2 linked regions of the Notamacropus eugenii genome follow. The protein of the gene in region 1 interacts with the protein of each later gene in a biochemical or structural test. Links are inferred from orthologs where the notes say so. Each region holds a gene or a part of one and is shown in the gene's direction. Other genes may lie near its edges. The genes, in order: BMPR1B and GDF5.

Region 1 (8,942 bases):
TGAGATTAATTTCAGGTGCTCAGGTGGGGGCAGGGCCGCCACTCAGAACTCAGTTCCCTCTGGGGGTTTATGCAGAGACCTTCAACAATGGATTCAGGTTCCTGCCTGCTTGGAGAGCCCTGGTCTGCCGCTGCCTCAGCTGCTGCCTCCCGAGAGAGCCTGAGTTATGGGGGCACCCCACTCCCCTCTCAACCCGTCAAAGAGACCCTCTCACCGACCCCCATCACCTGTGGGTGGAGGGACCCGTGCGGCTGCTGGAGATCCCATCCCTGAAGCCCACTCGGATCTGCTCCTCTCAGTGCCGCGGGCATGGCAGGGCTGTGCTCGGCTCCCAGTCCCGGCGCCCACTCCGTGGCGCAAAGGACCTTTTGCGAGAAGTTTGCAGGTCCCTCTGGAACAGAAATCTCCTTCGCTCCACTGTTCTGTGGCCTCTACTGCTCCAGAATTCGCAGCGAGTTCCTTTTTACAGATGTTCTATGGGTTGTAGGTTCGGAGCTATGTGTATGTGCATCTTTCTACTCCGCCATCTTGGCTCCGCCCTCCAGGATAAGGGAAATCTGAGCAAGATAGAAGGAGCCAGTTGGGAGGGAGAGACTGAAGATGAATGAGGGAACAAAAGGTGACTCCAAATCTAGCATTGTAATGAAGACAAAGGATAAAAGTTAATTTAACACTCCATCTCTCAGCTCCCTCCCTCCTCATCTCTACCTACTAGTTTCTCTGGTTTTCTTTAAGTTCCAACTAAAAATCCTTCTACAGGAAGCTTTTCCCAATCCCTCTTCATTCTAGTACCTTCTTTTTTAAAATTAGTTCCTATTCATGCTGCCTATAGCTTATTTGTCCATATTTGTTAGATTATGAGCTCCCTGAGAGCAGGGACCATTCTCTTTTTTTGTCTCTTTGTTTTTAGGTGACAATCCTCATTGCTTTGCCATGCCCAGCACACAGTAAACACTTAAAAGATTATTGACTGAAATATTTATTGTGTTACCTTACTAAAGTGGTATTCAGTAAGAAGTGCAGAATATTTTAAAAGAGATATAAATTTTTATTCCCTTTGTTTAAAGAGCACTAATTCCCATTTAGCTAATAATGCTACCTAGATTTGGACCCTGCCTTAGATAAATATCTAAGAATGACTTGAAATCTATGAAAATAATTGTTTTAGGTGGGGACTTAGTAGTTTGTTTTCAGAAATAGTCTTAGTGCAGTTTTCAGTTGCACTAAGACTTTTGGGACACTACATAGAATAAGCGCTCTATAATTCTGTTTATGCTCAGTTATGCTACTTTTACTATGGTTAGCAAACTCCTTCTTCATGACCAGAAGCTTACTCTCAACCACAATATAAGTTAGGATAAATTCTAAAGGAGAAAATCCAAGTTAATGAATTCTCATTAGAATATAAATTCCTTGTGTATGGGGGGATGGGATGGGGAGGCAGGGATTGCATTTTTCCCTTTCTTTATATTCTTAGTACTTTGCCCAAGGCTGCAAACAATATATAAATAAATGTTCTAATTTAGGTATCAATGTGCAACGTCATCTCAGAAACAGGGCTTCAAGAATTCCGGTTGTGTGACCACTACTATGTGTTGTGATGTTTATTTCCTGAACTTGGACTTGATTGAAGGCTGCAATCCAAGCTATCTAAGTGATTGAAATATGTCAGTTGCCTCCAACACTATTTTAGTGATAGGTGGTCAAGGATGGAGTAGGTTGCTGATATTTTAAATCACAGGTTCAAAGGCTGGAGAGGGGACTTTGAGATCGTCTTGTCAAACCTTTTCATTTTTTTAGACATGGCAACAAGTCTAGGAAAACAAGGTGAATTTTATAGGCAAACTCACATTGCAGCTAGGGGGTGAAGCCAAGATTAAGCACCCTAGTCTGGCCACCCTTTCCAATATTGATTATACATTCCAATATTGATTATACATTCACATACTCATACACATACTCATTCATGGGAATGAGTGATAATACTCCCTACTCCCTTTTGCCACTTCCAAGATCTCTTTCTTCTAATACCTCAGTAATCTCTTCTCCTCTGAAGTTCATCCAATGCATATTTCTTATTCAAATAAAATTTTGTTAGGTGTTATCTACTACCACTAGGACACTCTTTTCCTCCTCAATGAGTTTAGGGTCTGGCTCACAGTCTTTCCATTCTAGGTAGCTTGCCCTTTCCCCACCATACAGCTTAGGAGACTTCAAAATACATACTGATATTCCCTCACACACTAAATTCTTAGTTCTCAGCAACAACTATGATTTACAGCTTTGACAAGTGACTTACATATATTATACTTTATCCTCACAACAACCCTGGGGATTATAGATGTGGAAACTGCATTTCCTCAATTTCCTCATTTCCTATGACCTATTCTTCCACTTGTAACTCCTTCCTCTCTTAACTCTACACAAAGATGGCCATACCCTTGCTGAAGGGCATCATTAGCCTCCCAGTCCTGAGGGGGATCTAAACTCAAATCACCCAGTCAAATTACTTTGGCTGTACTTTTTCTCGAATTATAGCATCTAAAAACTCCTCCCCCTACTTGGAAGTTTGGATATCGACTAGCCCACTAATTCTTCATGCAAACTGAATGAGAATACTGAGTATTTTCTAAATTTAAAAAGTCCTTATTACTTTATTCATTGTATTTGGAGTTTTTCAGTTTTTTCATGGACAAAAAAAAATTGATTCAGCCATGATTCAACCTTATATATTGTTCACCTGCTACTTTTACAATACAATCTTGGATAGTAAATTTTGGTGTATACTGTCTTAAATTTCTATTGTACCGGGAGGAGACATCATCAAGAAAATCTTGGAGGAAAATCTGATGGCTCAGAGTGAGTATCAATAGCAATTGTTTCCGTTTTTTGTTTTGTTTTGTTTTGGTTTTTTGGCCAGAAACCCTGAGGGTCTTCTCCCCCCCAACCCCCCATCGCCATTTTTTTTTTTTTACTAGTTAAAAAAGGCCATTCTTTGCCTCATTTCTTACCTAGTCTTAATCACTGAATGGCCTTTGCCTCAGGCTAACTGAGACCTTAGCTTTAGAAAGGCCAAGGTCTCCCACTGTATCCTGGGCCATCTCCAGTCATTCTAATCTACATCTTGCTCCTAGACTCGGATGTCTCAGTAGGAAAGAGTGATGCTTGCACAGCCCTTGCTTGCTTAAATCCAATTCACCTGCAAATCTTGATTATCACTCTCCTGATGACATGGTCCTCTTTCAGAACAAAGTACAAACAACAATAACTCTTAATTAAGTGATTTCTATTGGTCCATATAATCTGTAGACATACTTGACTTGTATTTCCTTTAGCACCTGCTTAGCTCTGTGCTTTGCTTAGTGAATGTGTGGTCAGGTTGTGGTTGTTTCTCTGGGGTCCCCAATATACTGGGGGCCAATAAAAGCAGATGCAAGTTTGGGAAGTAGGTCCTGTGCTGGGCTACATTGATTTGACAACCTATATTTTCATCTATGACATTCTTATTTTCTTGAGCTAATCCATAAAAATGCCTTTAACTTGTTTTCCTTGCTTAAATTCTTTGTTCCTAATTCCAGTGATGGAAATTATATATACTTCCACCTATCTCATACATAGATATCCTTTTATAAGAGTAGTAAAGAAATAGGTAGAAAAGAAATAACCAAAGGTGACAAATCATTTTAGAAGAAAAAAAAGTCATCATGCGTTCGAAAGAAGAAATATATATAATAATTAATTTTTGCCAGCTTTGTCAATTTTTTGTTCTACCTTTTTTTCTGGGTGGGATTTAGAAATTATGTTTGTGGATCCATAAAGATGGCTCAGAAATATGACTCAGATTATGTATGGTCACCCTCAAAAACTGAAACTTAAAATTAAATTTTGCTAAATGAGTTTACTTATATTATCTTAAAGATAATGACAATACATAGTAAGTTAATTTCTGAAGATATATAATCCAGAAGTTAATTAATGAAGATGTGCCCATGTTAATTCTGAAGGTATCTAAATTCATATTGATAAAAATTATATCAATATGAATAAAATTAGGCATTTGTAGCATCTCTTCCTTTTCACCATTTCCCCCCATGATTTTGTACAGTCAAGATTCATAAAGTTTGCTCACTGTGGCATGAAGGTAAGCCTATGTGGTCTTTTTCTCCAAAGAGAGGTGGGGGACTATATGTACAGAAAGTTGCATACCCTGTGGTCTTGATATGATTGGTTTTGCTTACTGCTTTCTTTGTTACAAAGGAGGTTTCTATGGCTGGGGACATATTCAGAGAAGGCTGTAAAGGGAAAAAACCCAAACCCAAATCCAAATATTTACTAAATAAATAAACATGATAAGACCATAGGAATGCAAGATCTGGCAGGTCACACCAGGCTGTAAGGACCATTGTTTGAAGACCAATGAAGTTCTAAGCTCATTACCAAATGGTTATTCATCAAGCAATGAATTTTTTTGTTGCGCTTTGTTTTTTACCTACAGTACCCGTGTCAATGCCCAGGACATTTAAATTACGTCTTGAAATACTGTTTCAACTGAGTTTCTGCATTAGTTTAACTCTCTGGAGATAGTGGATAGGACTTAAAATTTGGAATTCCCAAGTTCTTTCTCTGTATGTTCAACATTCCAAAGAAAGCCATGGCTTTTTGATTTAAAATAAAATGGCAAGGACAGCAGGAAAAGGGGCAATCAGTTCTAAGGACGGTGCTTTGGGAGTCATCGGTGGGAGTCGTATGGTAAGGTAGAGTCAAGATTCAGTCAATGCCAGACTTTATCTGTTTGGAATATATGCATACAGGAGTAAGTTTAGAAAAAAGTTAAAAATGAATGAAGGCAGAAAAAGAAAATGAGCAAGACTTGGCTCCAGTTATATTTCAGTTATAAGCAGACAGATCTCAGTGTGAGGTAGAAAGACCTGGAACCATAGAACTCCCTCTAGCCTTGTTCTGACTAGTATTCTAGGCAGGCAACATTCAGTTACCACACTCATGCTACTAGCCAAGCCACACAAGTATGAAATGAGTAGCAAAGGTTCCAAAATAAATAAAATACCCCAATGGTTATAACTTCATCTCCGAATACATCAGAAAAATTCTCTGCTACCCTTTGGTGGCTTCAGACAGCTTATGAAAATATAAATGCTTTAACTTGAAGGAGGAAAAAAATCTCCCAAATTCTAGTCCTTTAATTACTCATATTGCTAAGTGAGGGGATCATATCTTTTATGAATTCCATAAAGTTTTAGCAGGGTGTTAATATATGGGAAATAATCACTTTCATGGATGGGAAAAAGATTCTTTCTCTCCTCTCCCCAAATATTTCTTTCCAAACCTTCCTAAATCTTTTTTTTGGGGGGGGGAGCCTCTAAAATAAGTGAAACCTACATGATTGCAGTAGGATGTGTAAGGGGGAGGAGAGCAGATGCTACAAATGCTAGTACCCTGAGGGCAGGGACTGTTTAACTGTTTAATTGTCGTTACATTAGCTCCATTATGGCATGCGGTTAGGCGCTTAATAAATGTTTATTGCCTGATGAGCCCCGTTCTCCACGTACATCTTCCGTCCCCAAAGCAGAAGCGTGTCCTTTTAGTGCATATCAAAATGGGTTAGACACATAATCCTGCTGCTAAGCATTTGGCTCTCACCGTTCCATCACTAGTGGGAGCTGGAGAGGGCAAGGCGCCCAGGAGCCAGTGTGTGCAGGAGAACGCCAGCGGCTGCGGCTCTCACCGCGGCACCCACGGACGGAACGTGGCCGTGTGGTCCGGACGCGGGGGGCAGCGGCAGCCCGGCTCAGCCCGCGGGCACTGCCCTCACCTTCGAGTCCGAGCGCAGCCCGGTGAGTTGGGAACATTGCGAAGTTCCCGTGCTTGACGCTAGTCCGAGCCAGGGTTCTGCCCCGGGCGGGAGGGTTCTCGTAGATGCCCGCTGGGGCAGAGCGCAGGGCTCGGGGTGCCCCTTGGAGAAAGAAGTCGGGGCTCGGCGGATGCCCGGAGCGGGGGCGCTGCGGGGGTGGGCTTCCCGCGGAGAGGGGCAGCTACCTTTCTAAGAGAGTTTGTTTGACATGGCGGGCAAGGTCGTTTAACTTTTTTGGGGGGGAAGATGTGTGCTTTCTCCCCCTCTTACCCCCCCCCCACCCCATCCCAGCCGGGGAGACGGGCTCCACGAGGAGGAGGGGTGTGTAGGAGAGGAGGGAGGGAGAAGGGGCAGACACTTTTCGTCCAGTCTGTGAGTGGGTTTGGGGAGACCTCCCATCGCCACGGGGCTGCGGGAGCCTTGGAAAGACTGGGTCCACTTTGGGGGGTCGGGAGGACGTGGAGGGGATCTGGACTCTGCAAAAAGTCACCTGTGTGTCTGTCTCAAAGCCAGAGCCCCCCAATAATGCGGTGGCATCTTTACACCCAGACCCCCACCGGTGTGCCCTAGTGGGCGTGTGGTTCTGCTTCTGGTTGGGGCAGGGCTCTTTCCTCCCTGGCCCCGTAAGGAGATACATTCAGTTTCTCCGATGTATCAATTGCTAGTTGGTGCTAATAAGGCAGTTGTCTTTGCCCCTCCCTGGATACAGTAGCCACAGCTTGCATGGAAAACTTTTTAAAAACACCAAGCCAGTTAGAAAACAGGGGGAGAATTTTTCCCTGCGATCAGTTGTATTTGGGGGTCGCATGAAGGTGAGGTCAGCCCCCCACGGAGAAGAAGCAGGAGGGTGGTGATCTCAGATAAAGTCACAGGACCGAAAAGCCTCTGTAGCATAGGGGAGAGAGAGCCAACTGTTAAAAAACAAAAAGTCACAGTACCGCTCCAAAAAAACTTGTAAAAAAGAAGAAGGCCCAGTTAGAGATGGAAACGAGAAAAAGCCTCAAAGGACATTTAGGAAAAATTCTTTTAGAAATCTCTTTGTTGTCTTAAAATGGATAACAATCTGTTTCTTTTTACTTCCATGTATCTTGAACTTCTCCAGGGAGCAATCGTAACCATTTCTTGGGGGTGAGAGTGAGGGGTCATCCCCATCAAATAGAACACAGGTACTTTAGAAAATATCTCGACTTATTTAGACTTTGCGGTTTGTTTCTAACTTCTTTACTCTCCAATGATGGGAATTATTTTGGAATGGAAAGAAAATAGAAAAAGATGTAACAGTAATTTAAAAAGAGGAAACATCCTAGTGTTTGGGGAAACAATTTTTAGATCAGTGTATAATCCAAAAAGACTGTATGTTGTAGGTAGCTCTGTGTGTGTGTGTGTGTGTGTGTGTGTGTGTGTGTACACATACATTTATTGGAAACAGCCGTTTTAAAAATGTTTTTGATATCCAGACATAATGTAGCTTTGTGGGATTTTTTTTACATGACAAACACTGTCTTGGCTGCCAGAACTTTCAAACACTGTCATTTGTCTAATTTGCTTTATCATTTAGAAAATGGGCTCCTTTTGGTTGAGTGGATTTCATTACTTTGATTGTATTACTTCCAGGCTACTGTGGGTTTCTTTTTTTTTGGGGGGGGGGGACTAATTTGTGATTGAAAATCAAAATGTTAATTTTTGCTGTTTAAGAGATGATTATATTATGTTAATGAATCATCACTTGTGGGGGGAGTTGCCATCTGTGTTTTTCAGGTGATGCTATGGCAAGTGGAATAGATTTAATAAATATTGTTGACCTGTTGAGTGGAACCACCAGTATTTTGTGAATTTCTTTTACTATTAGTCTGTGACTCTAGTATTTATAGATTTGTAAATGCAAAATAATTGCATACTTCTCTGAAAAGTTCCTTCAAGTAAAGAGTATTTGTTAAAAATTATTTGTTAATTCAAAGATCTCATAAAGTTATTTTCACATAAAAAATTTAATATATTTACGTCTGCTGATGGAGACGTGTGCTATGAATAATGCCAGTGATATTTCTCTGTCCCCTTGTATCCACTCCCCCTAACAGATTTACCTTCCTAATTTTTTTTTTTTTTTTTTTTTGGAGAGAGGGGTATTAAGATTAGTTGTTCTTTCCTGAGCCCTCATTAGGTTCATGGTAGGAGGAGCTGATTGATTGGTCATCTGTAGGTTGTTGGAAATTACTTTGATATTCAAAAAGTCTATAATCAGAAATTGTATACATGAGACATACTTTAAATTGAACTATATGGTAGGATAGTTGTGATTTTTATCTAAATTTGGAATACCAGATGGGAGACACTGATGAATTGCTATTAGATCAGAAGTACTTTTTGTATAATGGCAATTATTGATTAAATGTGAAAGACTAAAATTTGTAATATAACGTTCTCTTTTACTTGGTTAGACATTAATTGAAATAGAGCCTATAGACTCCTATTTCCTTACAGCTGATATTCAGAAAGAGCAAAGCATTTCAAGATGCTTCTATGGCAAATAATTCTTAAGATGCTTTTCCATTTTAGCTTTCGTGTAAATAGGAGTGAATGTATCTGGTTATAAAGTAGAAGCAGATATAGGTACAGCTAATCTTTTTTCATCTAATGCAGAACAATAAAAACCATGTGTTGAATTATCCCTGGAGAAGTGCTGATAATCATATATTATTCCTAAGCATGAAACAATCTTTATTTTTTAGTTAACTATCAAGAAAAATGAGTAAAGCCCATAAGTCACTGAAGCTCCAAGAACAGTCTTTAAAACTTTTATTCATTTTGATGGGAATCCTTTATAAATGCTCTGTGTAATCCAATAAATAGCTTCTTAAAGAGAGTTCACTGGCATAATTTACCTTTTCCTAGGAGACTTCTCAAATGCCCTCAGAGCCTGTTTGCTCCTCCTAGGGTGCCAAAGTGCTGTGCTTTGAGTTCTTATGTCTAGTTTTATAGTTTTTCTGCTGGTTTTTTTATTGGCACTGTTAGCTCACTGATACTTTTAATTTGTTGAGTCTAATCTGCTATGTGCTGAGAAACCAGATAACCA
Region 2 (8,252 bases), on another chromosome or scaffold:
CAAAAATCTGACAGGTATATTTTTCCATGCTCCCCTAATTTGCTTATGTTACCACCCTGTATGTCTAAATCATGTACCCATTTTGACATAATCTTAGTGTACAGTATGAGAACTTGGTCTATACCTAGTTTCTGCCAAACTACTTTCTAGTTTTCCCAGCAATTTCTGTCAAATGTTGAGTTTTTACCCCAAAAGCTTGGATCTTCGGATTTATCAAACACTAGGTTACTATGGCCAGTTACTATTATGTATTAGCCAATATCAGATTGTTTTGATGATTACCACTTTGTAATATAGTTTGAAATCTGAAACTGCTGGGTCACCTTCTTTCACACTTTTTTTCATTGATTCCCTTGATATTCTTGATCTTTTATTCTTCCAGATGAATTTTGTTACAATTTTTTTCTAGTTCTATAAAGTAATTCTTTGGTAGTTTGACTGATATTGACGATACCCCCTTGAACTTTCCTTGAGCTTTCCCACATGGCCTAGTCTTTGGCAGTTATCCTTTCTACTGGCCTTTCATTGGCCCTCCTCCTAAACCAGGGCAGCTAGGTGGTGCAGTGGATAGAGCACCAGTGCAGGAGTCAGGAGGACCTGAGTTCAAATCTCACCTCAGACACTTGACACTCACTAGCTGTGTGACCTTGGGCAAGTCACTTAACCCCATTTGCCTCATCCTGGATCATCTCCAGTCATCCTGATGAATATCTGGTCACTGGATTCAGATGGCTCTGGAGGAGAAGTGAGGCTGGTGACCTGCACAGCCCTCCCTCACTCAAAACAAAGTCAAGTGCAAGTCATGTCATCATTTCTCTGATGGCATGGTTTTTTTCAGCAGCGAGGGACAAACCACACACACCTGCCAAACCTCCAGTTCTCTGTTACCTCTAATGTAGCACAGCCCTTCATTGTTACCTCCCAATCACCCCAGCCACCTCTCATCCTTTATTCCTTCTAGACCCTTTCTTACAGTCATTCCCATCCAGATATTCCCACTTCTTGACCACTGTATATAAGGTTCATTTTGTCTCTATTAAAGTGCTCAGATTCCTTAAGAATCTGGCCAATGGCTCAGATTCAATCTAGTCTGCTTGTCAATACAAGTGTCACAATATTGTGGATTCTTAAAATCTTGCCTAACCTGATTGATGTTTTAATAAACCTTGTCTCAGACTGAAAGAAGTCTTGAGTTGAATTCATTCGAGGCAGGACCTATGTTGTTTGCCTTGAATTTTGGGGTCCCGGCACCTCTAGACCTCAACAGTATGGCACTGAATAAGTAAATTAACTTGAACAGAATTGTCATTTTTATTGTATTGGCTCAGCCTACTCATGAGCAATTAATATTTCTCCAGATGTTTAGATCTGCCTGTATTTTTGTAAAAAGTGTTTTGTAATTATGTTCATATAATCCCTGGGTTTGTCTTAGCAGGTAGACTCCCAAGTTTTTTATATCGTCTGTGGTTATTTTAAGTGGAATTTCTTTTTCTATCTCTTGCTGCTGGATTTTATTGGTAGTATAAAGAAATGATGATGATGATTGTGGGTTATATTCTGCAACTTTGCTGAAGTGATTGTAAACTCTTTAAGAGTTTCTGATGAACAAAGCTGTGTGCAAAGGGCTGACCAATCAGAAAATGTGGAATCTCATAGGATAGTGTTGGATTTGAAGTCGGAAAGATAGATTCAAATTTTGCCTCTGACATTAACTAGCTATGAGACCATGGACAAGACACTACCTCTCTGAGCCTCAGTTTTCTTGTCTTTAAATCGGAATGTTGTTGAGGCTCAAATAAGGTAATTTATGAAGGTGCTTTACAAACTTTAAAACACTATTTAAATGTCAATAATAATTACTAATAAATACTTGTTGATGGATTGATTGTCTGAATCTCTTAAAGGTCATGTTTTCTATTCCAGGACTGTCTAGCTTGTGTTGACCTAAGATAATTGACATGGGTAGAAGCACCTTAATGGAGTTAGAGTATAAATCAGGGGCTCTTGCTAGTTGACTACCCAGTTAGGCTTTTAATAACTTTTCAGTGATAGATTCACCTTATACCCTGACGAGTAGGAAAAGAACCAGGCTGGGGAGTCAGGTGACAGATTCTAATCTGTTTCTTTCCCCAACCTGCAGGATGAAGTTATAGCCTCTGTTTCTTCCTATGTAATATGGGCATGATAATCCCTGCCCTTCCTAATTCACGGGGATAATGAGATTCAAATGTAACAATCAATAGGTAATATTCTACAAAATGAAAAGTTTTCTACAAACATAAGGGTTTGCAAAAGAACAACATATTCACTGATGGTAGTTATCGAAGTGGAAGACAGCCTTAAATAGCAATAAAACTGAGGTTTAATACACTGGGAATGGCGGTACTGCTTTGTTAAAGCACCACCTTCTTTTCTTTTAACAAACAAATAATAAAAGCGAACACTTGCAAGTACAAACATTTGCAATCAGATTTTTGTGTTGTTTTGAGTAACTTTTTGAAAGATTTTATATTTTGTTTTGTTTGTGTGCTTTAAGACAAAATTTATTAATAGAAAAACCAAATGTAAGAACTTGCTATTATTTTCACGCCTTGAATTTCAGACAGAATGACTGCTTCCCAAGGCTCCCTTGCTCTGCCTAGAGTTAGACATTAATATTGTTGACATATAAGGGAGACATAGGGGGAGATGGGGGTGGAGTGGGGTGGGGGAACCAGGGCTCTGGGTCCCAGTAATTAAAGATGTCGGCACTGCCAGAGGCAGCATCTGGTTGCAATTACCAAAGGGGACAGAAGTGATTAGTCACCTTTTTAGTAAGAGCCAAATGTGTCCCTTGGGCATTTCCCTTGAGAGTGCCTCCCACCCTGTCCCCAAGCCTTTCCCTCTCTCCCCCTCCCCATGCCTGAAAGCCCCGTCCCCACTGATAATGTCCTATGTTTTGAGGGTGTTTAATATCTCCAGTATCCCAGTGTGTTGGAGGGAGTGAGAGGATAGTCTCCAAGGAGTCTCAGAGCAGAATACAGTCAACTATGAATTCTTCTACTGCTTTTTAAACTTGATTTTTCTACTATGGATTTCCTGCAGCTTTTGTCCTGAAGTCTCCCTTACCCTACAGTCTTGTTTCAAGGTTTTACAACTCATTTGTTCACCATTGGCCCCATTTGGCACCAAGGGCTAAGGCAAAAGTAACATCATAAGCATTAAACCCAGGTCTTCTGATGTTTGATTCCACAACTAGACCAGTGAGCACAAGATAGGTTTTGTTTTTCCTTAAGATTTAATTGAAGCTTGGGTCATTGCAATGGCAAAGGCAGTGGAAGACTCATTTCTCCAAGGATAACTTGAAGTTGGGACAGCATGAGTAAAATTGTTCTTTTCTTTCCTAGACTTACCATAGCTTCTCCTCTGTCCAAAAGGCAAGAAACTTGAGCTAAAACTGACTCTGGATAGTTTTCTAAGATCAATGAATTGCTAAACTAGCAATCTCTTGTTTGGAACTGTTGGCTGAGTTTGGGGCACCTGGTAAAGATAGAGCTCTTTGATGTCTACTGTCCCATTAATCCTGGAACAATGAAGACAATATGCTTTATAGTTGTAGGCTCCCAGATCTCAGCAGCTTGAAGGATTTGGATAAGAGCTATTGTAATGTGACAAATCCTGTACACCCACACCTGCAGCTAGGTGGTGTCAGTGGTTAGAGTGATGGGTCTGAAGTCAGGAAGACCAAGTTCAAATTCAGCGTCAGACACTGACTGCTTGGGTGACCCTGGACCAGTCACTTAACCGCTACCTGTATCATTTTCCCCATCTGTAAGATGGAGATAATAATAGCACCTACCCCTTAAGATTGTGAAGATAAGGTGAGCGGATGTTTCTAAAGGGTGCTTTGCAAACCTTAGAGAGCCATATAAATGCATTTTATCATCATTATTATTATTATTGCACCTGGACTAAAATATCTTCTTCATTAAGATTCCCACCCCTGCCAGACTGCAATGTCCTACCTAGTATCGACCTCAGCTTCCACAAAAGTGCCTGGCTTTCGATTTGACATTTTAAGAAACACCTGAATTTCCCCCATGTATGTCTCAAGAATGAGGGGCACCTTGAATTATGTGGTGAGTTTCCCTTGTCCTGCAGGGGTCACTGCTGCTCCAGGACTGGGTAAATCCCGTCCCTAATGAAGGGCTATCCAGTCTGCTAACTGGTAGGAACTTGGGAGCAGCCTATGCAAACCATCTCCACCAACGTCCCCTGCGGGAGTGGGGTCCGAAAGGGGTGGCATACACAGGGTGACATTCTGGGGCCCAGGCATCCTCTGAGCGTTTTCTTGTGGGATAGAAGAAGGCATATCGGTCTCCAGGTCATCTCAAGTTTATTAAAATAAAAGGAGCTGTTGGTAAATACTACTGACTGTTACGTGCCCCCTCCGTTAGGCCCCAGACTCAGAGGCTGAGTAGTAACTACTTTAAAAACACTCCAAGGACTTGACTTTGAAAACCTAGACCCGCCTCCCCCAATCCACCCCCCCCCAACCCCCCTGCCCCGCACTAGCCTGCCGCCCCCTCCCCCTTGGTGGTGTGCTTTAAGAACCGTGAATTGCTTTCTCCTCTGGATGGGGCTGGCTCTGCACACCCCAGGTGGAGGCCCCGTGCTCCTCCCAAGGCTCCAGGGCAGTCCCTGGGCATGAGGGTCCCACTGAACCGCCCACCCCCACCCCCATCCCCGGTGTGAGTCACCGTCCGTGAAAAGGCAGAGACGACTTTTTTTTTTCTTTCACATAAATATATCGTACTTAAATTAGTTTAGACAGCATGACATCAGAGAGTAATTAAATTGGTTTTTGTTGGAATTCCGTTTCCAATTCCTGAGTTCAGGTTTGTAAAAGATTTTTTTTTCACTGAGCACCTGCAAGCGGGTGTGTGTGTGTGTGTGTGTGTGTGTGTGTGTGTGTGTGTGTGTGTGTGTGTGTGTGTGTGAAATATTTTCACTGGAAAGGATTCAAAACTTAAAAAAAAAAAAAAACTGGAGCCCAGAGGCAGCATTACGCCATTCTTCCTTCTTGGAAAAAACCCTCAGACTTAAAACAAGCCTCCTTCAAACTCTCCGTCAGTCCTGCAGGAGAAAAGGGGCGGTCGGCTTTCTGCTTTCAAGAACGAGTTATTTTCAGCTGCTGACTGAAGACGGGCGCACGTCTGGATACAAGAGCGTTTCCACTATGGGACTGGATACAGACGCGCAAGAGGCAGATTTAAAGAGTCTCAGACTGAGGAGAAAGCCCTTGCCGCTGCCCTTGCTGCCGCTGCCGCTGCCGCCCTTGCCTTCCAGGTTTCGTTCCTTTCATGGTTTCTCCTGCCAAACCAGAGATACCTTCGCCGCTGTTCTCTTTGGTGCCAATCAGCGGCAGGTTAGAGGATGAGACTCCCAAGACTCCTCGCTTTCTTGCTCTGGCACCTGACTTGGTTGGACCTAGATCTTATCAGCACTGTTCTGAGTGCCCCAGACCTGGCACAGAGAAGCTCAGGGTCCAGACCGGGATTGGCCAAGGCAGAAGCCAAGGAGCGTTCCCCCCCGGCCAGAGGCAGCTTCAGGCCGGGGGGACATGGCATCAGTGGGGCAGCCACTAATGCCAGGGCAAAGGGCAGCGCCAGCCAAGCTGGAGGCCTACTACCCAAGAAGGATCAGCCCAAAAAGATGCCCTCGAGATCCGGAGGTCCTGAGCCCAAGCCAGAATTCCCCCATGCAAGGCAGTTGGGAGCCCGGACTGTGACCCCCAAAGGGCAGCTCCCTGGTGCCAAGGTTCCTCCAAAGGGCGGCCCCAGTTCCAGTACTTTCCTACTGAAAAAGGCCAAGGAGCCAGGGCCCCCAAGCGAGCCCAAGGAACCATTCCGACCACCCCCAGTCACGCCCCATGAGTACATGCTCTCCCTGTACAGGACGCTATCGGATGCTGATAGGAAGGGAGTCAATGGCAGCGTGAAGCTGGAGGCTGGGCTGGCCAACACCATCACCAGCTTCATAGACAAAGGGCAAGGTGAGAGGCAATGCTAACCCCAGGTCAAGGAGGGATGTCCAGGGGAGTGTGTTTATCTCCCAGCTACCAGTTACACATGCCAGAGGTTACCTCTTGTATTATTGTGCATCTGGTTGTGTGGGCTACATGCACTAGGACATCGAATTGTAGGACATCAGAGCAGGAAGGGACCTTAAGGTTCATCCAGTGCAGGTCCATGAGTTTGCAGAGGAGAAAACTGAGGTTCAGACAGGGCAAGAGACTTTCTGAAGGTCATAGTGCATTGGTTGCATGAGCTGGGATGAAAACCTTGGTATCCTGTTTCTCAGTTCCTTGTTCTTTATTTGCATGGACTCTCCTCCCTTAGTTCTAGATGAAGCTAGATCAGAGGTGAGCGTTGGGAATGTTGAGGGGAACAAGGGATTCATTGCAGAGGAGATGGAATTTCAGCTGGGGGATGGTGTGGGAGAAGAGCACTGTCAATGAGTCCTCCTGTCCTAAACAAAGCTAAATGGTTTGGTACTTTCATACATAACCCAGGAGAACTTAGGTTCTCCTTATTTTTTGTAACTGTGGTGCTCAAATTCTTCTGTTTCAATCTGACCGCTTAACTCTCTTGTGATCTTATATAAGGGACTTACTTTTTTGAGTCTTAATTTGTCCCTATATAAAAAAATAAGGAGGTTGTACTAGAAGATTTCTAAGGTCCCTTCCACCTATGAGTTTCTAAAATTCTATGATTCTTAGAACTTCTACTTGAGTGCCTTCTGGGAGGGAGTTTAAGGAAGGGGGAGAACATATTCATTAAACATTTGATGTTGGGGGAGGGGGTGAGACTGAGCCAGGCTCAGTGGCAGCAAGCCTGGTTGGGGTGGGGGAGGTAGGCTGGCTCTGTGCCCAGTTAGGGAAAGCTGTAATTCCTTCAGGACTCATAAAGTAAGTCCCCATGTCCCCTAGCACTGAAGTTGCTCAGGGAGGGGAGATGAGGAGTTTAAAAGTCCAATTAGTCACCTTCTAGGCCAACATGTGAATACTCCCTGGTGGCAAATTGGTGTTTAGGTAGGATAACATATTCTGACATATACTGAAGCTGTGTCATATAAGAACATCCTTTGAATGATCATCTATAGAGATATATTCACCTACCCAATGAGTAAAACACATACAGTTCACACACACAGAACATGGGCTTCAACATAGTTATACATTCTCTCTGTCTCTTTCTCCCATGATACACACGTACCCTGAGTATAGAGGACATCAGAGGACATCACACACTTGCTTGCATGTTTATGCCCACAATGGATTTGGTAATGTACTTGTTGTTTAGTAAGTTCTCTTCATTTGTACACTCTCAGAATAGAATGTGGGGTCCCAGCTTCTATCCTAGTGGAGAAAATGTTAAGTAGTTTTCTTAGATTCAGTAGCTTCTTCCTGTACATTACAGAGACTCTGCAGGAGCATCAAGAATGATCCTATTTCTTTCTCTCTAGATGACAGAGGTCCTGCAGTCAGGAAGCAAAAATATGTATTTGACATCAGTGCTCTGGAAAAAGATGGGTTGTTGGGAGCTGAGTTACGGATCCTGCGGAAAAAGCCCTCAGATGGGTCAAAGCCATCTGTCCCTGGGCGGCCAGCCCAGTTGAAGTTGTCTAGCTGTCCCAGTGGCCGGCAACCAGGCATCTTGCTTGATGTACGTTCTGTACCAGGTCTGGATAGCCCCCGTTGGGAAGTGTTTGACATCTGGAAGCTCTTCCGAAATTTTAAGAACTCAGCTCAGCTGTGTTTGGAGCTGGAGGCCTGGGATCGAGGTCGTGTCATGGACCTACGTGGTGTGGGTTTTGACCGAATTGCTCGTCAGGTCCATGAGAAGGCCTTATTTCTGGTGTTTGGCCGCACTAAGAAACGTGATCTGTTTTTTAATGAAATTAAGGCTCGTTCTGGCCAAGATGATAAGACTGTGTATGAGTACCTATTCAGTCAGCGTCGGAAACGGCGGGCCCCACTCACAACACGTCAGGGCAAGCGACCCAGCAAGAATCCCAAGGCCCGTTGCAGTCGCAAGGCACTGCATGTTAACTTCAAGGACATGGGCTGGGATGACTGGATCATTGCACCCTTGGAATATGAGGCCTTCCACTGTGAAGGACTCTGTGAGTTTCCCCTTCGATCTCACCTGGAGCCCACCAACCATGCTGTCATCCAGACTCTCATGAACTCCATGGATCCAGAATCTACC

The links.
Region 2: the proteins of BMPR1B (region 1) and GDF5 interact in a biophysical measurement, tested with the Homo sapiens proteins (3 studies listed by BioGRID and IntAct, with this or other methods). The link is inferred for Notamacropus eugenii from reciprocal best matches to the Homo sapiens genes BMPR1B and GDF5.

What each region holds. Positions count from the first base shown.
Region 1 is NC_092878.1:132,073,452-132,082,393, forward strand, and holds the start of BMPR1B (bone morphogenetic protein receptor type-1B), read left to right. Parts: upstream 1-5,655; 5' UTR 5,656-5,852; intron 5,853-7,967; exon of another isoform or gene 7,968-8,942. UniProt on the Homo sapiens protein: On ligand binding, forms a receptor complex consisting of two type II and two type I transmembrane serine/threonine kinases.
Region 2 is NC_092872.1:419,486,082-419,494,333, reverse strand, and holds the start of GDF5 (growth/differentiation factor 5), read left to right. Parts: upstream 1-4,911; 5' UTR 4,912-5,415; coding exon 5,416-6,034; intron 6,035-7,506; coding exon 7,507-8,252. UniProt on the Homo sapiens protein: Growth factor involved in bone and cartilage formation. During cartilage development regulates differentiation of chondrogenic tissue through two pathways.